Linked DNA regions of Schizosaccharomyces pombe. The protein of the gene in region 1 interacts with the protein of each later gene in a pairwise test. Each region holds a gene or a part of one and is shown on either strand. Other genes may lie near its edges.

Region 1 (3,476 bases):
TATGCAATATGTAATGGAATAAAAGAGAAACGGATGTAGTATTGGAAGAGATATCGATCATATTTATGGTACGAAAGTTTAGAATAGTCTTGAAAAGTTGTTCATTATATTATGTATTAAAAAAATCATTTATACAGTCTTCATTTTCTTGTTAATGAGTTTGTCATTGATATTATCACAGTCGTTTATGCAAAGAAATACTCAAGTTAGAGTGTTATTATTATTTGCTTAGTATAGAACAACTCTTTGATTCTTCAAATTTACAGTTTCGAGTTGATTTTTGAAGTAATCGTAGTTTAACAAGAAGAGCAATTACCTTTCGAGTGATGGAATTATGTGAAAGAAGTATTGAAACATTAGTATGAGATAAAATTATCAAAACTTTTAGGTTAAGAAAACACAATTTGGTGACAAGGGCTAGGTATGCATATTATTTATAATAAATCCTTGATAGATCCCCTTACTCGTATAAACAAAGGAGATCGAACAGTCAAAAATCTTAGCAGCATCTTATACAATTTATGTAGTGCTCTCTAAAAATTTGCCAAAACATCCTATGTATTAGGAACTTTAAAGCAAAAGGTATATATGGTTATAATAAACCATATCTTTTCTCTGGGGCAATTTGACATGCTTCAAAAAAAAAAAAAAAAAAAGAAGGTATTAGTATGTACCTTCTGTAAGGGAATAAGGGGTGCTACAACTATTTTAAAGAAAGTAATTTGTACATTAAAAGTATGCCAATTGCTTTGAAGAGCTGTCACGAAAATAGAAAGGAAGTAAAAGAGAAAGCATTAGAATATGTGGTATTATTTTGCTTGAAGAGCTTCCCATTGTGCCGGACTATAACATTTCTGCATTTAAAGTTAGTAACTGATTAAGAATAGTTGAAAGCATTTTTTTTTTTCAGATTCCTTCTTCTTTTTTCTATCTTATATGCCTGAAACTTAGAGTACGAACCTGAGTAAAGGCATGGATATCCTTGATCACCTCTTGAAGTTTGTGATTCACAAGACGGTGACGAGCTAGCGTGCTTTTCCCTTCAAACAGAGGGGAAACAATGATTACTTCGAAGTTCTGGCCACATCCTCCAGACATATCTTGGATCTCCTATATAAGTATCAGTAAAATGGTTTGCTTAAAGTAATGTGAAACCAAAAAATAAAAATAAAAATTTTGCTCAACGTACAATGTGGGTAGGTTCTAATGTATTTTGTATCAAAAGCTCAAGTTGTTGTGCATTTACCATGTTTTATAAACGTTGTCGATTGAAGTTATGTTATGGTTCTTTTCAAGATGTGTATTCGCTTTCAACCAACTAGGTGTTCTCCTGTCAAAATCTCTAAAACCCTTAAAAAGATGACAGAAGTCGAAGTAAGACATAGACATTAAGTATTATATATTAATTGAGTATATTAGGAAAGGATTAATGCTTGGAATGACGGGTTCGAAGAGCTTTTAAGTTATATCCCTGCAAAGCTCTACTATCGCGAGCATACAGCGGTATGTGAGATATTTGGAATAATTATGTTTAACTGTTCAATTTAGAATCAATGGAAACAGAAAAAATCTACGCTAGAGGAGAAGAAAGAACGCCGAAAAATGAAATTTAGCTTGGATGGTCTTGTTAACGATGCGGACGATGATAGTCAAAAATCTTCAAAGTGGGAACAGTCTTCGACTATGAGTGATGATACAGATGTTTCAGATCGTCATGCTGAAAGCATGTCACAGATCAGAGGTAAACTAGCATCAAAGATTCAGGATTTGCGTGAGAAGAGGAAAGCCGGTGACTTGAATCAAAAACGACAAAATAAGCGTCCTGTCGAGAATGAAAAGGATTCTCAAAAGGGATCAGGAAAAAGCAAGGTTCAAAAGAAGAAACACAAGGCATCTCCTCGTGCTGGTTTCTAAGCTTTGTTGCCTTAAAGAGTAAATTCATCAAAAGAGGCAAACCCTGACAAAAAACTAAAACGTTAATACAAAGGTTCTGGATAATAGAGGATTAAAAAAGTACTATTTTTTTGAGAAAATTATTTCTTTTGTCTTTCGCAAGTTGGTTAAAAAATTCAAGGATGGACGGATACGGTTGGGAGCGGGCTTTTATTTTATTGCAGTTCGATTTAGTATAATTCTTATTTAAATATTCTTTGGTCTTATTTTTTGTATCGTCCTACCATTGTTAACGTTAGTTTTGAGGCATCAAGGCAGCATACCTCACAGGTTTCCAATGCACGCATTGATGATTTCCTGCAAAAATGATTTTAAAGGACAAACGCGTAATATTATAGCCTTCTACTTATCTTTATAAGTGTAAATGTATGTTTCAGATTTTATTTCGCTTCTGCTGTTTATTTTTCCTTCACTAAGCAGTTTAACATATGAAAAGTTGGATTGCTTATTTAGTAAATCTTGTAACGTTTGATGAAGTGGATCGTCAAATGTATTCTTAGAGTTTACAAGAGCAACGCCTTGAGACGTCCCATGGTTTTTTGTTTGTATATGAAAGTTTTTGTTTTAGTATAAGAAGATACAAGCAAAATGAATTGAGCAGACAATTTGTTTCTAGTATTATCATTAGTGCTTCAATAGATGCTCTGTAGTCATACTCAATGTACTTACTATAGTATTTTAGTGTGTATGAGTTTATATATACTACTAGTATCATTTGACTTGACTCATCAGTAGTGCATCCTCAGTTTACTACGACTGCATGCACCGTCTATCATTTCAATATCGCATTATATCTCTTTCCTTTCCGCTGTTTATTCTTTTAATGTTTTTCATTAGGCAAGCTATTAATTATTAATTGATTTTAATTGTCAATACTGCTCACCTTGCTAACATAACCCGTCGTTTGTCATCATCAATAAAACCCTTACTACGGCAACCTCTGAGTATTAGATAGTTCTGTTTTTGTTTTTTATTTTTTTAATCTTTTTTTTATTGTTGATTTTTTATATCTCGCGCGGTCGTTTTGTTTTCCAATTTTAAACTTATCTGTCCAAATAATCAAACTTGTGATGCTATGGAGAATCCTAACTTGCTGCAAGAGCCCCGAAGAAGATAAGGATGAGCATAAGAAGAAACCTCCTAATGTAGGACATGCGCATTTAAGCGTTGTTTCACCATTGAACGAGCTAGCAAGTGAAAAATCAAGATCTAGCTTATGCATAGAGTGGACAATAGATTCTTTGCGACAGTTTGTACAGCAACTTTCAGTTAGACAGAATATGTCAAAAGATCGTCGAGAAGCTTTAACGTATTTTATTAACTCCTACAATGATTTATTTCATGATGTATACTATGGTGATGGTCGATCCATGTCGAAGACGGAGGAAGCACAGACCATAGTGACATTTACCATTGGTTCTTACTTGTACAAATACACCCATCCATCAGAACTGTTTTGGCAAAGGCTTAGTGACAATATGGCAAATATAGAAGATGATGGTACGTGTACGGAGGCTCAACTA
Region 2 (6,274 bases), 3.2 Mb from region 1:
TTATTATTGCGCGTATATTTGAAATTGTTTTTGGTCAGCAATGTAGTAGAATTCATCGTGAGAAAGAAACTTAAATTCTATATTTATTTTCTAATTAACTGAATTTAATTAATGAATTAATTGATTAAGTGTCAACCAATGCGTAGGCTAGAAATAAAAAATTGAAACTAAAAAATCGATAAAATAAAATAATAAAAAATATGCGACAGATGAATGAAATAATACTTTAAAAATATAAAAACAAATGAAATCAATAAAACTAAATAAAATAAATAATAAATTACATTCAATGAAATAAGGTAAAGTTAACTCGACTCAAAAAAGTAAATAAGTTCATACCATGATATTCTACGTACAATCAATAGACATCAGTAAAGACTATATCCATGAGACTAGTTCGTGAACAATATGGGAATATCAAATTCAGATATGAAAAGAACAGTCTTTACAAGTTAAGTTAATAAGCCATATGTAATGAACTCTACCTAATTTCAAAACAACCAAAGCATACGTTGAAATATTAAATAAGATCCATTATCAAAAATCCATTTATTTAAAAAAACAGTACGATGTTTAAGAAAACACAAAATTTTTGTATATTCGGTTTTTTAATGCTCTTACTAATACATTTTCCATTCTCACCGCTTCATACATGGTTTTTTGCATACTGTTTTTTATTTTTTTCTATATTTTATTTTCCCATCTACTCTTTCTCCTCTATAAGATGATTTCCATATTTCCGAGGAATTTCAATAGCTAAGATGCGTGGGTTTTCCTTTGGTATCCAGCAACCTAACCAGGTCGATAAACGCTCACCCCCATTTTCTCCTTTCCTCTTGCAATCTATCCATCACATTGCTATTTGCCGAGAAAAATTCATTTCATATCTCCGTCGATAAATATAGGCTTTATCGCACGTGGTTTTGAAATCATTATCGTTCTTTATGTAATTGGCCAAAATCGATCTACACCATCTTGTCGAGACTCGAGCTCAGTGATTTACGATTTTTACAAATCTCAGCTACTTTATCTGCATGGAGTATAAAAATTAAAGTGGAAATATATTTTGATAAAGTTGGTATTGCTGAACTGAATATATGATTATCTCTTTTCCAAACATATTCTCTCAACATCAAACAAAAGCATTCAGCAACTACAACAGGCAATTCAATCTCCCTCACCATCACTAAATAGTAAAAGTTGGTAAAACCATTGCAACCCGCTCGCCCACCACTGTTGATAGTTTCTCTTCCTTGAACATCCGTTTTAACGCTCTTCTAAACGCTTTCTCTGCAATCAATTCTCCTTTTTGTTCGTTTTGGTTTAGCACTATTTAATATCCTAATTGCTCTCGTTTGATCCTTGATTGTCATTTACCGTGTTGGTTCTTATCCCCTATCTATCGTCGATTATTTCTTACAAAATTGAACACTTACACCGTTTATAGTGTTGCTCATATACCCTTATATAGATATAATTATATATTTAGATATCTGGGAAGTTCTTTTTTTTTTTTTTTTTTTGGTCACACCAAAATCTAGTTTCATTAAATTTGGTCATCCTTTTTCTGCAAGTTGGATTAATCTTTTTATCCGCTTCAGGCAACCATAATCACATCTTTCTTTTTTTAACCCTGAGGCCGCAAAAATTTGTCGATTTTGGCCATCAGCTTTTGTTTACGTAAAACTGAGAAACCACTTACATTTGTTAAGTCTCTTTTGTCTTGCTCCAAGTCCATAGTTACACTCTTGCCGGGTTCTTCGCCATAACACAAATACCGGTTGTTTTACTACATAAATTTACCTTATCGTAGTTTTATCATTTATTTCGAATCCGGTTATCCTTTTCTTCCTAGAAGAAAATACTCTACTTATTGCACCTAAGGCTCGTTCTGCTGGACTGGTTGACTGTTCAGTCCATCGTTTTAACGCAGTCTTCCGCGCTCTTTGTAAAACTGCCTCCCTTTTGGTCTCGCTTTTTCGGTGCCTGATTGTTACCCCTTCGTTACTTGATAATTTCATTTCTGCTGATTGGGCCATATTACCTGAACCACCACCACCGCAATTGGATTTTCAATATAATTACCCGATCTCCTTCCCTATCTAAGCTCACACATATCTGCATAAACAAAATTTGCCCACAACCATTCTTCTTCTACAAGTATTAAAAGACAGCTTATAGATAAAGTTACTTGTATTGTTTTTGATCGTTATCTTTTACTATTTAATAGTACTGTTGTCGATAAAGTTTAAGTGCTCTTCCTTTTTCTCGGAGTCTGAGCGACTTTGCCTTGAAAATTCATTTATTTCTCGTTTTTTCCTTCTCTTTTCTACGCAAAGTTAGTTTTTGACTTATCTTTTTCACAACTACTATCGCCGTATGAGTTATTTGCAAGGATCTTCTTCTAATAAAGATTTTTTGCTCTCATCACGATTTTTTTACTTTTCATCTCAGTTCTTTTGATCTGTTGGTGTGATAAAGACTCTTTTCATTAGTTCACTCTCATCTTACTGGATTTGGTGAATATTCTCCATCAAAAAGCTTCTTCACTTCTTTGAATTTGCTTTATGATAATTGACTTTTTGGTATCTATTTCTCCGCTCAATTCATAGGTTGCATCTTGGTTTATTTAACCACCATTGGAAACTGTTCGAATTCTCCAAGGTTTCTTTACTCTTTTTTTTTTTTACATTTTTTGCTTTGCCATTCCTTTTCATAGGATAGGCTCTTTGTTTTCTGCGAGTCGGTTTTCTATTTATTGTATCTTTAACTTTTTAACTTTGTTGAAAAGTTTCCTTTAACACTCTGTTAAAACTTTCACGTTCTTATTTTTGTTCTTATTATCCCATCCGTAGTATCTCTCGTACTACCTTTGAAATTTGGTGCCTTGGTACTTTAAGGCTTTTATTTTTTGTTGGTTTTACTGAACAGTATTACCTTTCCTATTTCTTTCCTTTTTTTGTCCTATGCTTGTTGTGTTTCCGTTAAAATTCCGGAAAATAAATCATTCACGAAGTTCTGTCACCTTTTAACATATTCTCTGTTAATAGTGATTTTTGAATTCACTTTTGGAGATTTATGCTTTTTTGCATCTCTCTCTGACTCCTTTATTCCCTTTTTATATTTATCATAATTGGAACGTGCGCATTCCTTTCTCTCCATTTTAATATTTTACACATATTTTTGTTGTTTTTTTTTTATCAAGGAAGAATAATTTATTATTTATAATTTCTTGTCAATCCATTACGGAAATCTCAAAATTTTTTGAATCCAATCCATCGGTTCTCATCTGGGTTCAATCAATTTTGCAATTTGTACATATCGATACAATCGTTTTCTTGTTTTTTTTTATTTTCCATTGTGAATAAGCTTGGATCATTTCGTTCAGTACAACTCACTTAAAGCTAGCATTTACTTTGATTCGTTCGTAATTAACTTTTTTACATATCACCAAAAAAATGGCTGCGAAACCTGCTCCTTTTGGCCAAAGTTGTTCCAACTGCCACAAAACTACTACTTCTTTATGGCGTCGTGGCCCCGATAATTCCCTTTTGTGCAATGCTTGTGGCTTATATCAAAAACATCGCAAGCATGCCCGTCCTGTCAAATCTGAAGATTTAAAAGACATTTCTCCACTGATACAGCAAGTTTGTAAAAACGGAACCTGTGCTGGAGATGGATTCTGTAACGGTACGGGTGGCAGTGCTTCATGTACTGGTTGTCCTGCTTTAAATAATCGTATAAGAAGTCTCAATGCTTCTAAGTCTCAGAGCGGACGCAAAAGTCTATCTCCCAATCCTAGCAGTGTACCCTCTAGCACTGAAACCAAAGCTTCGCCTACACCTCTAGAATCGAAACCTCAAATCGTTTCAGATACCACGACTGAAACTAGCAATGGCACTAGTAGACGACGTTCTAGTCATAACCAGCATGAAGACTCATCTCCTCCTCATGAACCAAGTGTTACTTTTTGCCAAAACTGTGCTACCACAAATACTCCTTTGTGGCGCCGCGACGAGTCGGGTAATCCGATCTGTAATGCTTGTGGTTTGTATTACAAAATTCATGGGGTACATCGTCCCGTTACCATGAAGAAGGCAATCATTAAACGTCGAAAAAGGCTGGTTTTTAACGGTAATGCGAATGAGTCGCAACACAACTTAAAAAGAATGTCAAGTGGGGATTCCGGATCTTCCGTTAAGCAACAGTCTACAAGGGATGGTCCTTTTTCTAAATCTTTTCCCAATGGTAATGGCCATGCTTCTGGAAATTCTGGTGAAGGTCTGGCTGAGCATGGAATGAATACTGGAGTATTACCTCCGGCTAGTACATTTCCTTCATACAACAGCAATTTTACCGGGTTCTTGCCTTCTTCGTTCAATCCTTCACCATTGATGACATTGTCACGGTTAGCGGCTGGTGAACCTGATAATAATGGGAAAGTTTATTACTCATATGGTCCTACTCAGGAACAATCAATATTGCCTCTTCCTGAGAACAAGCATGAAGGATTGCCTCCTTACCAAAATGAGTATGTTCCCAATGGTATACGAGCTAATCAAGTAGTATACCCTGGTCAGCTTGTAGCAGTTGGCAATGATTCTAGTAAGCAATTATCGGAATCTACAACATCGAACACGGATAATAATGGCGTTGCAACTGCCAACCAATCCAACCCCTTAGGCATGAAGTTTCATTTACCTCCTATCCTTCCTGTTGGCGAGTCAGTCTGTTTGCCTCCTCGAACTTCTGCAAAGCCAAGGATTGCTGAAGGAATTGCTTCCTTACTTAACCCCGAAGAGCCACCCTCAAATTCCGACAAGCAGCCATCAATGTCAAATGGACCGAAATCAGAAGTTTCACCTTCGCAATCTCAGCAAGCTCCTTTAATCCAATCCTCTACCTCGCCGGTTTCTTTGCAGTTTCCTCCTGAAGTTCAGGGATCAAATGTAGATAAACGCAATTATGCTTTGAATGTTCTTTCGCAATTGCGTTCTCAGCATGATTTAATGATTCAGGAGTTGCACAATTTAAATCAGCACATTCAACAAATAGATGAATGGCTGAGGTCCTCTGACAATGAAAATATGGCTTCTGAACATATTAAATCCTCAACCCCTGCTGTTGTTGCATCTGGAGCTCTTCAAACATAAACTTGATTGGCATGTTTGTCGTGCGGCATATTTATTTATGGTAAACAAATTAGATATTATCCCGTTTAGCTGTCTATTACTTACAAGCATGACATTGTATACTATGAGTTTAGGGTAAAATACTTCACATGATTCTTATTGGTCTTTTGTTTTGCGTTAGTTTTGGTATTGGCCAAGTCCGTCTGCGGTGTTATATTCGTTAAGAGCTGGAAAATAATATTCAGTCCTTAGCGATTTACCGTTAAATTTAGAGTTAACATATATGTTTTTAATGAAATCCTATGTGGAGCATTTTTTATGATATTAATACGCATCGAAAAAGCAGATATTGAGAAAAAATAATACTACCGGATTTATATGGTATGTAGATAGTTAATATATTAAATATATTTAAACTGCCCGAGTGCAAACTCATTTGGAAATTGTCAATTCATTAATATATTTTTACAATTTTTCGGGGGAAAAAACATTTGTATACAACTATTTAAAACGGAAAATGGAGTTGCTTGTAAAAAGCAGTATCCATGGTTAATTAGTTCATTCGCAAAAAGTCATTGCTTGACTTTTAAAACTATATGATTAGGCTGAAATTTTAATTGTTCATTACAGCACATATATAAAAAACTTACACTTAATTTTCAGCTCAAATAACTTCGCTATTCATTATTTAATCTATTTAAATCAATAATAATGTAATTATGATATATATCATTTAGTTTTTCTGTTAACAACCAACAGTCCCGTGTTCTAGTGGTATGATTTCTCCTTCACACGGAGAAGGTCCCGGGTTCGATCCCCGGCGGGACTAGACTTTTTGTAAAATTCAACAATAGCGAACTTGAACCATAATGAGATGTTTTAGTATAATATTGATAAACAGTTAATCTACACTACTACTCTAAACATCCTAAGCTTTTCTGAATCTTAACAGCAATGTAACATATTTTTGGATTGTTATAATAATTTACTCCATTTGTTCTATTCTCCGCTGACTATACTTTCAAGTGTATTGTAATATTGTTTTCTGCAAGTTGAAATCAACGAGTTTAGGTAGTAGTCTTTAGCATGAAAGAGCTAACACATTAATGCAATAATTTGGAAAATGAATACAAATTAATGAA

The links.
Region 2: the proteins of fra2 (region 1) and fep1 interact in a protein complementation assay, tested with the Schizosaccharomyces pombe proteins (one study listed by BioGRID).

The regions. Positions count from the first base shown.
Region 1 is NC_003424.3:3,656,905-3,660,380, reverse strand, and holds fra2 (iron-sensor Fra2), read right to left. Parts: upstream 1,293-3,476; 5' UTR 1,250-1,292; coding exon 1,190-1,249; intron 1,111-1,189; coding exon 961-1,110; exon of another isoform or gene 855-960; coding exon 810-854; 3' UTR 557-809; downstream 1-556. Other genes in the region: rrp14 (ribosome biogenesis protein Rrp14-N), read left to right, coding at 1,360-1,374, 1,420-1,503, 1,549-1,914; protein mug129, read left to right, coding at 3,024-3,476.
Region 2 is NC_003424.3:440,111-446,384, forward strand, and holds fep1 (Fe-sensing transcription factor Fep1), read left to right. Parts: upstream 1-2,110; 5' UTR 2,111-3,458; coding exon 3,459-5,153; 3' UTR 5,154-5,611; downstream 5,612-6,274. UniProt on the Schizosaccharomyces pombe protein: Transcriptional repressor that binds the consensus promoter sequence 5'-[AT]GATAA-3' during iron-replete conditions to down-regulate transcription of target genes. Represses the expression of the iron transporter fio1 in response to high iron concentrations.